Linked DNA regions of Lytechinus pictus. The protein of the gene in region 2 interacts with the protein of the main gene of each other region in a biochemical or structural test. Links are inferred from orthologs where the notes say so. Each region holds a gene or a part of one and is shown on either strand. Other genes may lie near its edges.

The links.
Region 1: of the proteins of E3 ubiquitin-protein ligase CHIP-like (region 2) and cytochrome P450 3A24-like, one has a biochemical effect on the other in vitro, tested with the Homo sapiens proteins (3 studies listed by BioGRID). The link is inferred for Lytechinus pictus from reciprocal best matches to the Homo sapiens genes STUB1 and CYP3A4.
Region 3: the proteins of E3 ubiquitin-protein ligase CHIP-like (region 2) and leucine-rich repeat serine/threonine-protein kinase 1-like form a complex in vitro, tested with the Homo sapiens proteins (2 studies listed by BioGRID and IntAct, with this or other methods). The link is inferred for Lytechinus pictus from reciprocal best matches to the Homo sapiens genes STUB1 and LRRK1.

Annotation. Positions count from the first base shown.
Region 1 is NC_087251.1:35,007,539-35,012,519, reverse strand, and holds the start of cytochrome P450 3A24-like, read right to left. Parts: upstream 2,762-4,981; 5' UTR 2,020-2,761; coding exon 1,949-2,019; intron 473-1,948; coding exon 379-472; intron 1-378.
Region 2 is NC_087254.1:34,716,879-34,721,859, reverse strand, and holds the start of E3 ubiquitin-protein ligase CHIP-like, read right to left. Parts: upstream 3,233-4,981; 5' UTR 2,930-3,232; coding exon 2,828-2,929; intron 1-2,827. UniProt on the Homo sapiens protein: E3 ubiquitin-protein ligase which targets misfolded chaperone substrates towards proteasomal degradation.
Region 3 is NC_087249.1:24,367,947-24,372,927, reverse strand, and holds the start of leucine-rich repeat serine/threonine-protein kinase 1-like, read right to left. Parts: upstream 2,741-4,981; 5' UTR 2,652-2,740; intron 1-2,651.

The DNA of each region.
Region 1 (4,981 bases), on a different chromosome or scaffold from region 2:
ACCATATACTATCTTACACAGTGGGTGAGAAAAATGAAATAAAATAGCAAATGTCTTGTTGTATTGAATTTAGAAATCAATAAAAATCGAAATCTAGTTTCTAAATAAATTGTGGAATATGACTTTAACCACGAATTTATGTCTGATATGTAATGAACTAGATTTTCCAAAACCGTGTACAAAAACGTAAAAGTTACCATAGGATTGTGATTTTTTGCATGGTCAGCCCCCCCCCCCCCCCTTGAAAACCGTTCCGCGGCCCCTGAACAATAGAGGAATCTCCGTTAATGTTCAAGCAATTATGACTTAAAAGTTATCAGTTCACAATTCCCATCTGTAAGGTTTATATCGAACCTTTTTTACCATCTCATAATTTACCTTTGTGCAGGAAAGAATATTGCCTAACAATGGCAGGGGTCTTGGGCCCTTGATTCCTTTCCTCCAAAGGTAGGTTAGGTTCCATAGCTCCTGGCTGGTGATAAATATATAAATCATGAATAATGTTGATAGTAATTGTGTCAATGGTGCTTACAAAATGACAAAATTATAGTACCAACAAAAATAGGTGGCCTAACCACCATTACGTATTATGGAAGTAAAATTTTATGGGTCTCGCATTCAAGTTATCGACGGACAAACAGTCGCTTGTGATTTTCTTTGTCCGACATGGCAGCACGTAGGTTAACGTCATATCAATCTTGCCATCTGTTGCAATTTGAAGCCGAGTTCTACTCCGATCACATAGTAAAGATTTGTTTTAATAATGTTTAAGACGTATTAGCATTATTCCGAACTTTAGAAAAAGATGATCATACGTTTTAAACTTTCAGATATAACATGACTTGTGTGGTGTGATCTTTAATTATTTCTGTTATTCAGAACGTCTAGAACTGATCATTGTTTGCAGACATATTATTAATTGATATAATATATATCAATTTGCACATATCAATTTTAATGTTATACCTCCCCTTCAGCCGTCCTTCACAGTTTTCACAATGGTATCAGCTTAGAGAAATAGCCCCCAAAACCGAATATACATGAGTAGTACCAGCATTCACGGCACTCTATGCTTCACACAGGGAATTGTATGAATTTTGAGACGCAAAGTTACTTAAAGCTATGCAAATGAGGGTATAATCAGTTGTATAAACAACTATTGATAGGCACACCTTAGCAAACCATACTTGATTCCCCACTCACACCGATATAGATTATACATATATATATATATGGTTAGATTATGATATTATCGAAATTTAGTTTAGACCACAATACTTTTTTTTTACTTTTACGAACAGGCCAGGAGCCGATCGAGGAGGTCGATGATGGATGGGGACTTTTGAACCACTGCACCTTGGCAGAACCGGAAACATACTTGGTACACCACTTCCATTCAGTGTAGAATTAAATTGTGTAATCTTTGTATGTATAGGCCTAGCTACCATGGAGCGCTATATGAAATTATTGACTATCCATGATATAACTGAGGGGGTTAATAACGCTGGTCAATCTCTTGATCTATCGGAGTACAGGAACTTCTTCTTTTTATGTTAAGTCTGTACTGAACACCTTTGGTGTACGTAGGCCTATATTCATACTGTTGACAGCTATGGTGTGGATGCGAATTAACAAATACATTGATTACGTGCATCCAGTGTCCATCTAGCGGAGCTAAGAATCTACAACTTTACAATGAATGAATCCATGTTTTACAGGAACATCTATGTTGAATGTATAATAATGATTACATTAGTTCAACCGAGCAAACAAACTAGGTTCAAAGCTCAGAATAAAGAGAACAACATGAAGGAAATGTGATTGAAAAAAAAAATTGAAGATAGGGCCCATTTTTAGTCTATTATTCAAACTCGGTTTTAAATATTACTGTTAACGTAGCGTAAGCCTTACGAGAAGAAATATCATAAATAGGCCTATATCTACTTACCCGAACAGCAAAGCAGCTATTGCTCCAACAATGGGCAATGAAATCTTGAATCCGAATATCGAGAAAGACATTTTGTGTCATGTACAGGAACACTCTTGGAAAATGTCGTGTACTGTAATGGCAATATATCACCAAAAGGGTGCTTCCCTTTGATCTCGGGCAATGCTTTGCCTAATTGCATCAGCTTGCGATCGATGCAGAGGTAACTCACAAAAAGGGGTGTTGAACACTGATCTGTCCACTATCTTTAGTCCTTTTATTATAGTATTCAGATCAGTGGCGTTGAACAATACGTCATATCGGCATGTAGGTCTACAGAATGTCTGTATATACTCGTTATGCAATAATCAACGCTTATTGACATCCCGGATCATGGATGACCAGTTTATTCCATCAAATCAACTGGACCATGTACACGTGGAAATCCTGGGGGGCGTTTCATGAAAGGACTTGTCGGACGTTTTATCCGACAAGTCCCATTTTATCCGACAGTTACCATGGGAACAGTGCCTCTCGGCCAATCAAAATCAGGGAAAGATGTCAGATCTGACAACTTGTCGGATAAAAATATTGATGAAACGCTCCCCTGATCAGTTCCAAATCCCATATGCCAGAACCCATACACTCCCCCCTAAAAGTTTGGAAACACCTGCCTTCAGTGTGTGTTTTTCGAACTTTGGTAGACTTTACTGAAGTTAAGCCTCATAGTACAGCTGTACTTTTGTTTTAAAGTGAAGGCTATACACCAGTGTACATTTTATCATTGAATCAAACAAATTCAAAGCTCTTAAGAGACGTGCAGCTGCCAAAGAGGGCAGGCTACCAGTCAAGATGGCATTCTGTTTGGGGTTCTATTCTGAAATTCTTCCCATTATTTTGTGAATGTTACAGCAGATGTCCCCAGAATTTGTTGCTCAGTATTGTTCATAAGACAGTTAATTTATGGAAATCTGCATCTTTATCCTGGAAAACATCTGAACTTGACAAATGCCTAATCCTTCTTTAAAGAAAATGCATGGAAGTGGAGTAGACATCAGTGCAATTTGAAATTCATGAATTCAAAAGTTATTCAGAGTTTTTTTACACTTATTCCAGTGCACCTTCATTCATTTTGCCTATTCAGTTTTTCTTAATCAGAAGTCAGTCACAAAATCAAAATGGCTAAGACAAGACAGCCTTCTTTGGAAACACGTCAGTCAATTGTAGTTTTGAGGAAAGAAGGCTACTCCATGCGAGAAATAGCCAGGAAACTCAAGATCAGTATCCATGCTGTTCACTACAGCCTGAAACGCAAAGAGGCCACTGGGTCTAATGGGGATAGGAGACGAAGTGGTAGGCCCAAAACAACATCTCCTGCTGAAGATAAATACATTCGGGTGAGCAGTCTGCGCAACCGTTGTCTGACTTGCCCACAGATTACAGCTGACCTCAACAACACCCGTGAGATGCCTGTATGTTCTTCAACTGTTAGAAGACGTCTCTGTGGAGCAGGGCTGATGGGCCGTGTGGCTTCAAGGAAACCACTCCTCAAAGAAAAGAACCGGAAGAAAAGGCTTGCTTGGGCTAGGAAGCATAAAGACTGGTCTTTGGAGCAGTGGCAGAAGGTTCTTTGGTCTGACGAATCAAAGTTCGAGGTGTTTGGCAGCAAGCGACTTACCTATGTGAGACGGCGAAAGGGAGAAAAGATGCTACTCCAGTGCATCAAGCCAACTGTGAAACATGGTGGTGGTAATGTCATGGTTTGGGGTTGCTTTGGTGCAGGAAAGGTAGGCAGCTTGCACAGAGTAGAGGGTATCCTCAACCAGCACGGCTATCATTCTATCCTACAGCGGAAGGCCATCCCTTCAGGGAAACGCCTGATCGGAGAAGGATTCGTTTTCCAGCAGGACAATGACCCAAAACACACGTCAAGACTATGCAAAGACTACTTGAAGAAAAAGGAAGAGAAACAAGTCCTGGAAATCATGGATTGGCCGCCCCAGTCCCCAATCTCAATCCCATCGAGCTGCTTTGGGAAGAACTAGACAGGAAGGTTCGAGAAACTTGCCCAACAAGTGAGACTCATCTGTGGGAGATACTACAGAAGGCATGGCCGGGTATTTCAAGTGACTCCCTCAACAAGTTGACCAACAGGATGCCGAGAGTGTGTCGTGCTGTTATTGCTGTCAAAGGAGGATTCTTTGATGAGAAGGCAGTCTAATTGGAACACTTTGAAAAAGAAAGACATGCCTTTAAGTTAAAATTCATTCTAGATTTTATTTGTTTGTTACAGTATCACAAAAACAAAGAATAAACTGTAAAGTCTTTTTTCAATAAATGAGTTTCCATGATCAAGAAAAAAACTGACGCCCTTTTGATTGTTATTGTGGTTATTTAAAAGAAATATAGGATTTATTGTCTTTTTTGTTTATTCAATAAAATCTATAAAAAAGTTTTCCATATCAGTGAAACACTGAGTATTGTTTAATTTTATTTTTGTGTCTGACTTCTGACTAGGAAAAGGAAAAATGAATGAAGTTGCACATGTATTAGTGCAAAAGCTATGAATAACTGCATGTTATAAAAGAAGTTAGCATTTTGAGAGAATGCCATCTTGACTGGTAGCCAGCCATTTAAGAGAGTATAAATTTGTTTGAATCAATAACAAAATTTACACTGCTGTATAATCTTCACTTTAAAACAAATATTCAACTGTGCTATGAGCCTGAACATCAATAAGGTCTACCAAATATAGAAAAACACACACTGAATGCAGGTGTTACCAAACTTTTGGAGGGGAGTGTATATCAAAATACATTCTTTCCTGATGCTATCAGATTATGGAACTCACTCCAAGCAAAGATAGTCCACAGCACCTCCCTCGCGTCTTTCAAGCAGGAGGTGCAGCAAAGGAGGCTTTAAGGCCTCTTCTGTTTATAGCCGCACATAGTTTGTAGAGATTTTTTATTCGCACCATTCATCTGGGCACTTGACAAGCACAACTAGTACGATAATATGCCAACGGCAGTCTGTACTTTACAGGAAGAAGAAGAA
Region 2 (4,981 bases):
GAAAGAAAGAAAGGAGGAAAGAGAGGGAGGAAAGAATGAAGGGAGGCCATAATGAAAAAAAAGAAGAAAATAATGGAAGGAGAGAAAGAACGAAAATAAAAACGAGTGGAAGGGAGAAGGATCAAATGAAGGAAATAAAAAAGGAAATGTATTAAGAAGGCAAGTAGGAGAAAGAAGGAAAGAAATAAAATGAACAGAGAGAGAAAGGAACAGGAAATAAAAATAGATATGTAACAAAAAAGGGCAAGAAGGAAGGATAGAAAAGAAAGAAAGAGGAAAAAGTTCAAACTTCAAGCAAATAAAAACAATCCAATCATATTTTATAACAAAAATCCTAATGATATTTGGTGTTTTTTTATATATATTTTTAAAATTAAAAAAAAACTAAAATGTTTTAGAAATGAATAAAATACGGGACGTCTGGTCACCCTGATCCTGGCCGAGTCAGTCCGAAGCTTGCATGCATTCAGCGCGATCTAGCTCGAGAGTCGACTGGCTCGCGATCGCTTGTGTACGTCCATAGTACATGTAGAGCATGCGCTCAGAGGGCGAGAGAGGGGTTTCCCCAGCTAGCTCCTTCGTCGATTAGTAGCGCATGCGCACAGTGTAGTTTAGAAAGTAAGATGGCAGCACCCATCGAACGGGACCGCTGGCGATAAAATGTCGGTAAATTGGCGCTGATTTGACATGTTTCCACTGTTTTTTTACTGGTATGACATTGTATGAGAGATAATTGATGGATAATTGCAATTTATCAAAAATTATTAAACTTTACTGTCAATTTATCTTTTTCATTTTCAAAACAAGCACTTGCCCGATCGGGCAATTGACTTTGAAAAATGCTTGCCCACACGTCAATTTCACTTGCCCTGGGCAAGCGGGCAAGCAGGTTTGTCGCGCCCTGATTTGAATCTTTTTTAAATAATTTTTTTTTCAAAGAAAATAAACTTGAAAAATATCTATGATGGCGAATATAGTCAAATTGACTGGTTGCCAAATACAAAGACCCCCCCTTACAACTGGTCAACGATCTACATGTAATTTGAAAGAAATCACAATTTGCTTATTTTTTAAAAGTACATGTATGAATGAAAAGAATCTTTTCATTTAAGTTTCAAAGTAACTATGGGAATACTAAATCAAAATTTTGGAAAAATGGAAGGCATTATATTTCAGTCAAGACCAAACTGATTTCAAATATCAGCCAATCGTGTGATTGTTATGACAATGTTACTATTGAATTTTCATAAATTATTCTAATAAGGAGTGTAGTATAGTCACAGATTTTGAACAATTTACGCATTCCTTCAATGATTTAGAACTTTCCACAGTATTAGATGTTCCATGTCTCAATATTCTCATCAAATGCAATTTTCATTTAAAGGAGAATGAAACCCTTGAAACCAGCTGAATCCGTATCAAAGAGAAAAATCAAAGAAATATATTGTTGAAAGTTTGAGGAAGATCGAATGAATAATAAGAAAGTTATGAGCATTTGAATGTCGAGATCACTAATGCCATGTAGATCCTCCTATTGGCAATGCGACCAAGATCTGTAATGTCACACACGTACAACTCCCTCATTACTTTAGTACTTATTTCACTTATATTCTCACTTTTATAGAGTCTATCACAAGGTGAGGTGTTCTCTTTATGAGAGGACAAGTACAGAGGTTTCACAACATTATATCATTGATGAATCGTTTGTCATATGATTAGAATGAGCAAAAAGAGATGTTTTGGGGTATATTTTCAGTGTCCAAAAGGGGAGAGTTGTTCATCTGTGACATCATAGATCTTGGTCGCATTGCCAATGGGAGGATCTCCATAGCATTAGTGATCTCGACATTCAAATGCTCATAACTCTTCTATTGCTAGTCCTATTTTACTCAAACTTTTGTTGATCTTATTCTTTGATTTTTCTGCTTTCACAAAAGCTAACTCGCTCCAAGAGTTTCATTCTCCTTTAAACATTGGGTTGCAGACCAATCATAAGGTGTGCGGTGGCCTTTTAAAAGGCATTGTGTATTTACAGCAGTGATCGCCAGACCGAGCCGCGATATCGGACTTGTTTTTGTTTTTAGGAAGTTGCGAGAGATCCCAGAGCACATGAGAGCAAATTGCTCGCAAATCTTGTTTATTTTTTTCGCTTTTCAGCAGCCATAAAAATTGTTAATATCAAGAAAATTGATGCAGCAATCAAAAAGGGAAGCAGGCGCAGACGAGAAACATCACTTTTTTATATTTTTTAGCAAATTTTTGAAAATAGTAAAAAGTAATATATTTCATGCGGTGGCCAAAAAAGATGCGCGCGAGGACGATCAACTACTTTCTTTTTTTACTTGGACTTAACTTAGTTTGGATAAACCAGGGAAGTGAGAGTTGCGCGACAGCCGAAGTAAGTCCCTTTTTTCCCCCCTTTTAAATTATTTTTCCCCGTTTTGGTGCATTTCAGGCGAAAACGGAATGACGTTTATTTTGGTCCAGTTCTTTTCATATTGACTATTGTTATTAAAGACAAAAATCGATGAGCCCCGTCGGCGTCGGGGGGATTTTGCATTGTTAACCCCCTAATCATGCTAATGGCAGCTGCACGATCGCGAGCCGTCTGTGTACGAGGAGAATTTTTTTTAATGTAAATAGAGTCCTCGAAACGGACGGCTGCCAGCTGTCTGGTATGCCGTATGGTTTTCACCCAAATATCTTCATGACCTTGCTAAATTACTTACACAAATGTTTATGAGTGGGACTAGAGTAAGCAAAGCTCGTACATTGTAAGCAATATTTGTGATTATTTATGCATTCAAAGGCTAAATATCATACTCACTATGGCCTTGTTATAGCATCCAATGGCCTCTTCATATTTGCGTGATCCATAAAAGCGATTCCCCTGTTCCTTTAGTTCCGTAGCATTCATCTTTATGTTCATCTTCTTTCACAAATGTCAGTTTTCGATCACCAGCACGCGTACCTACAGTGCTAGTGCGCTTAGATTTTCTTCTCTGTAGTGTAATTCTGTCAACATCGACAATTGATGACAGTTATATCGGCTATCAATCAATCATTGCTCTCGATATGTATCTCTGTCCATAGAATATAGGTCTAAAATACTTTATGCATTATTTCAATCTTCTAGGGGCTAAGTTAAGTGGTATAGCGCTCTGCGCTGAATCACATTTGGATTATTCTCGATCATTATCTGATTCTGACGTAATCGAATCTGCAGCAGCGCAAGAAAGGGGGGGGGGGGCTATAATATAAAACTACTGGCCTTTTCGTTTCTCATTTGTTTTTATTATATTGTCAAGGCACTGCGTGTAAACAATAAATTAACTTAAAGGTAAATCAAGATATATCATAGGCACAGATTTTATAACTACATGTATATAGGCCTACACTGCATGAGCAATATTTTTTTCTTTTAAAAGGGGACTTTCCATATGCAATGATGCGCCCTACATGTTTTTATAGCCTGTAATTGTGTTTCTTTTCTTTCTTAACTTTGAATGTGCTTATATATTGTGGGTCGCGTCAGTGGGTCTATATCAACTTTATTACGTACCATCTCTGACTCATCTTTGCAAAGTGGTCTTTGAACCCACCAGTTGAATTAACTAAAAATATGTACATTCCCCTCCCTTCCCCAGACGTCTGGGATGGAATCAGTGGCGGCAACAGTATTTTTAAACCGTTTGGGGGGGGGGTGCGAGTCGGGGGTAAAGGACTTTTTTTTCCGGGGAGACAAAGGCGGACACAATTTTTTTTCGGCTCCGGCGCGCCCTAAATTTTGTACCGGTATATATACTGACCTGAAAAGGGACACGTTAAGGCCTATTTGCAGTGACTCCTCCTGTATTCTACAATTTGTTGATCAAGTTTTTGCTTCGAAGGCTATTGTTGACTATTATTTACAAAAAAGAGGCGTGTGTACTGTGCCTTAAGACTACAAAAAGCATTTGATTTAGTTGATGGGCAATCTTTGTGGTTAGAATGACGAAATCAGAGGTAAATGGACTGAAAAGTATTAAATGTTGTATATGCAAAATCATGTGTCTGTAAACATGTCAGACTTTTATAGTTGTAATATCGGCGTAAGACAAGGTGAAAATCTTTCATCTTTATTGATTTTCAGGAACATATATCTCTAGATTTTATCCAGGCTTGAACTTTGCTATCTGAGGATCTCTGTAATGTCCTACAAGATGAGGATTTGGAATATTTTCTAAATTATTTTGTATTTTATATGCTGATGAAACAGTCATTTTGGCAGAAACCCCTGATGAGTTGCAGTCAGCATTGAACTCAGTTCACGATTATTGCAGAAAATGTCACTTCAACTTTGACTGTAAATACTTCTAAAACCAAAATAGTCATTTTTTCTGGGGGTAAAGTTAGGAAGGGCCTATTTCACTTTTAATAATGAGCCGATTGAAGTCGTTTATGATTTTTTTTTACTTGGGGATAAAATAAATAATTGTACCTTAAAAAAAAACGAGTCACACAGGCGAGAAGAACATTATCATTGTTAGCTAAAGCCCCCCCCCCCCAAAAAAAAAAATGCAATTGTCAGTTGATATTCAGTGTCATTTATTTGACCATCTGATTTTACCAATCCTGTTGTATGGGAGCGAAATATGGGGTTATGAAGACATAAGCCAGATTGAAGTGTTACACAGAAAGTTTCTTAGGACAATATTATTTGTAAACAAGTGCACACTATGGTGTATGGGGAGACAGGACGGGGTTGATTCTGAATCATTATAAATGTAGAGTAATTGGCTTCTGGTTGAGAATTTTAAAATGACATGAGAACAAATATTCAAGTGTGATACTGAAATTTATGTTTAGGTTAGATGAGCTAACAGATTATAACTGTAGCTCCTTGGCAGGGGCGTAACAGGGGTTGGTGGCCAGGGGGGGGGGGGGGGCAAGAGTCAAACATTTCCCGGTCATATCATGGTGTTTTGAGGCGACAATTTTG
Region 3 (4,981 bases), on a different chromosome or scaffold from region 2:
GCCTGTGTATATGCATGCTGGCTCAGTCAGTCTCTAACAGGTTAAAAAATAGTTGTTTGAAGGAAACTCAAACTAGTATTCCAGACATTTTGTTTTTTAACAAAATATGTTCATCCCTTTTAGCACATTCATGAAACAAACCTTTGAATCTGAATGGTTCAGCTCTAGCCAATATACTTCATGAAAACTCCACACATGCACATAGCTACATTATGTTCAAGTACCGTACATTACATAGGGAAATTGACATGATATTTGTCAATTAGAATGTAATAAGGAATCAATGAAATTCTGAAGATCCTACACTTTACACATTTACCTTTAAACTATATTACCGTATGTGCATTGATAAAAGATTCTGAAGCAACAAGTTGAATTGGGATCAAGAATGTCAACTAAACACATTATAAAACTCATATTTAATAAATATGAGTTTTATAATGTGTTTAGTTGACATTCTTTATTTATACATGTCGGTTTCCATTTTATTTTCATCATCATAACATGGGGTTTGAATAAGCCTTGCACAAATATTTGATTACATACGTGTAATTGTATCGTGTTTCAATGTTCTCACGGCTGCACCAGTTTTGAAAGGAAGTTCCCGAACACAAAATGGAGGGAATATCTGTATTAATTGGTGATTCTGCTTCATTTAAATATTTTGAACAAATACATGTAAGAGTACATTTTTGCAGTTTTATTTTGTCACAAGTGTGTATAAAATGAGATCTCTTTTGAATTTTATCCAAGTATGTCTGGCTGTTTGCCTCTCTGCCATTATAAATCCCCCATAACCTACTGACATCAAAACACAACTAAGTATACACTGTCATTTCTTTCTTACCTTTCATCAGTAACATCCATGTTGTACCTGGTAATAACATCCAAAGGTTCAATCAATCAAATATCAAATCCAGTACATCTGGTATCAAATCTAACAGCGAGTTTTTCTATTGATATAAAGCAGGCTAAACATAACAATCGGACCTTCGCTACTAGGAAAATATCATTTCCATATTCAGAATGAGTGTAAGATCAGAGTCCAGAATTTACGAGTTATGATTATTTGAAGGGCACTGGAGAAACTTATAAAAGGTAACATTGAATGAAATATATCTGAAAGCAATTTGCAAAAATAACTATTGACAAATAATAGGCCTAGTGCAAATTGAAAGTTTATTTCTCACTGTTAGTGTTACTTAACTTATAAAATGTTTCAATTTGAACTTATCACGATTGGAATACATGATGCATAGTAAATCAGTGAAAAGTTTTCTTGCATACACTGCATGGCATATTTACATATATCTTATGTTTGGTATTATTCTTAAAATATAACAGGCAAAGTTCTTGAACATGAACTGAAAGTCCCCACAAATGACTCCCAAAACAGATAAGATGGACACCAAAAATACAGCACTATTGGCAATAGCCCCATGAAACATGAAATCAATGCACTAGCTACTCCATCATTGATGTCACAGATTATGCAATCTCTCAAATATGCTGAACCACTACGTGTCTCTTCTGCGCAACTTTCATGATGCAACGGTCTAGAAACGAATCAGATTCCCTTGGACAGAGAAGTAGGTCAGCATGCAAGCCAGAAGGGGGGGGGGGGTGGGCCACTTCCATTTATGACGAGTTGATACCAGGCGCGACCAAAGAAACGCGTAAAAAGGATCTCTAGTTTTCAAGGGCATGTTACGCGTAACATAATAAGGGTGTCAAAAACATTAAAATACTGAAAAAAGTGTACATATTTTGCTAGGAAAGCTATGTGTTTACGATCAAATTTGCGAAGGTATAAAACAGACTGAAATGCTTTACAAAGGATGTACTTTTTGCCCCAACATGTGTTTAGAGTCCGATTTGAGAGAGGCGTGGGAGATTGGGCGGTACTAAACCCAACAAAAGTAGAGGTAAAGCTGACGTCCATGACATAACAATTAAAATATCGCTGTTTAGGGGGTCAATTCAGGGATTAGTTGTCAAGGCTACCGTTTTGTTTCCAATACTTGTTAAGGGTAGGGTTTCACATGGCAATACTACTTGTTAAGGGATGCGTTTTCAAAATATGGAAAATGCTTGTTTAGGATATGCATTTCATAACCAAATGGTCGCGCCTGGTATCCACTCGTCAATGGGTGTGCCCCCCTCCTCGGGCATGAAAGCAAAGTGACGGACCTATATCTTGGTCCAGATTGGGTATGGATCAAGTAGGACTGAATTTTTGGGATCTACTTTAATAAAGAACAGATATAAACCAAATATACCTGTTGTTTCTTTATTAAGTATTGAGGAAATTATTCATCCTTGGTTGGACTGGGAATATCATCCTTTTTTTCTCTGAAAAATAGTTATTGGCGGTCCAACCACAGATAAATTTTTTTTTATGCATCCTCAAAGCCTGGTATACTTGTATACTACATTATGATTATTATCCCAAACATCCAAGAACTCAAACATTGACAACTACCGACTTCAGCACCAAAGTCTCAAGCAATAAGGACGATTAAAAAGCAACAGTACACACTCCTTGGTCCTCTTTTGATTGTTTGGATCCAAATATTGAGGGGTACATCCAGGAAGACACACACAAATAAATAACGTACATTTCCATGACCATGAACATACACAAATCTTACCTGCAAGGTAAAGAATTTGTCATCTGATACAAACAGCATTAACTTTATCTAGACTGCATGAAGTACACTTGTCAGATATCAACTAAACTTATACCTGTTCCTTTTGAGTTAACATTTACTTGATAAAAAAAAGTAGAAAATGGTAATCCCTTCTGGTCAAATTACACACACGCCTGCTATTGTACTTGCACTGCAATGCTAAAGGGAAATCCCAGGGGTTTATTTTTATCACTAGCTCTTTATTTGTGGGGCTCATGGAATGTTTAAACATAGGATTTCATAAAAAGACTTCCTTTCATGTGCATTCATCCATATTTCCATTGAGCATACCTAGGAGCTTCAGGTCTGAGCACTGATGAATCATAGCTCTATGGATGAATGCAGATTTATTTTTTAACAATATTAATGCAGAAAGCTTTCTTTAGGCAACCCTTGAGAAGGCTAGTGGGGAAAAACCAGGCAACTTTTATAGGAGAAAAAGAAGGAAAAAGAAAAGGGAGAGACATACTATTTCGTAAATGATGAAAAACCCCAAATCATGTAGCAATGGCCTCAGTATCAAGCACGTTGTCTTCACTATAATCTGTAAAGCCCCAGTCACATAAAAAAAGGCCCCAGACCACCCCGGATCTGATTCGAGGTGGTCCGGGGAGAGATCTGTGTTGGCGCCTTGAATGTCCGGCCGGGATGCCAACATGGCAGTTTTTTACTATAAAAAAAACGTCCGGTGTCATCCGTGGACTGCCGGGTAGACAAGCAATCTGGGATGTCTGTGTAGCTGCCGTGTTGGTCCGTGTAGTTGCCGTGTAGGTCCGCATGGTTGCCTGGAGTATCCTTGACAGTCCGTGTTCTTTTTTTTCATATCAATTTTATACAACGCTGTTTACTTTATGAACTTTCAAGTAGTTGTTAAACACTTGACATAAGCATGCTTTATTTATTTAAGATTAAATATTCAAATTTTGTAATGTAAGATTTCAAGCACTTAACAACTACTGTACAAATAGTAAACTGCATTGTGTAAAAAATTAAAACAGCGTTTTTACTGGTTAAAGGAAGTTTGGGTTTTTTATTTTTTTGTAATTCATACCGGCATTGCTGTGTTGATCTTTGAGGATCCGTGTCTACATGTGACTGGGGCTTAAATAGAGTTTGATTTTATTTCAGTAATCCATTAACTTTACAGCTTTATTTCTTTGGGCTTTTTTAAAATGTAGTATTGGTTAATTGATGGGTTTCTATTACCCCCACCCTCATTACAAATACAAGGCAAAAGCAATTTTGTGTCTCGCCCACTTATGAAAATAACCAGAAATATAGTGATTTGCGAGGGCACGCAACAGAATTGTATCAAAACTTCCTTGTGAAATGACTGGGATGGAATAACACTTGTCATAAGAGTCTTGCACATAAACTTTAATGTTGACCTCAAAATGAACTTTGACCATACCATGTGACCTCCCAACACAATAGCATGCAGGTCCCCTAAGTACATCTACCATCGAAGTTTGGTTGTACTTTAACATTGACCTGAAAATGACCGTTGACCTTATCATGTGACCTCCGACTGCAAAATAACATGCAGGTCCCCCAAGTACATCTACCATCCAGGTTTGGTTGAAAAGTGACTTACGGTTGCGGAGTTAGGTCTCAGAAGAGTCTTGCATGTAAAATTTAACGTTGACCTGAAACTGACCTTTGACCTTACCATGTGACCTCCGACTGCAGCATAACACGCAGGTCCCCCAAGTCCATCTTCCATCCAAGTTTGGGTGAAAAGTAACTTACGGTTGTGGAGTTAGGTGTCATAAGAGTCTTGCATGTAAACTTTAACGTTGACCTAAAAATGACCTTTGACCTTACCATATGACCTCGGACTGCATAATAACATGCAGGTCCCCAAAGTCCATCTACCATCCAAGTTTGGTTGAAAAGTGACTTCTGGTTGTGGAGTTAGGTGTCATAAGAGTCTTGCATGTAAACTTTAACGTGAAAAAATGACCTTTGACCTTACCATATGACCTCCGACTGCAGCATAAAATGCAGGTCCCCAAAGTCCATCTACCATCCAAGTTTGGTTGAAAAGTGACTTCTGGTTGTGGAGTTAGGTGTCATGAGAGAGTCTTGCATGTAAACTTTAACGTTGACCTGAAAATGACCTTTGACCTTACCATGTGACCTCCGACTGCAGCATAACATGCAGGTCCCCCAAGTCCATCTACCATCCAAGTTTGGTTGAAAAGTGACTTACGGTTGTGGAGTTATGTGTCATAAGGTTTGTGACGGACGGACAACGGACGACATTTGGATCCCTAAGTCTCGCCTTCACC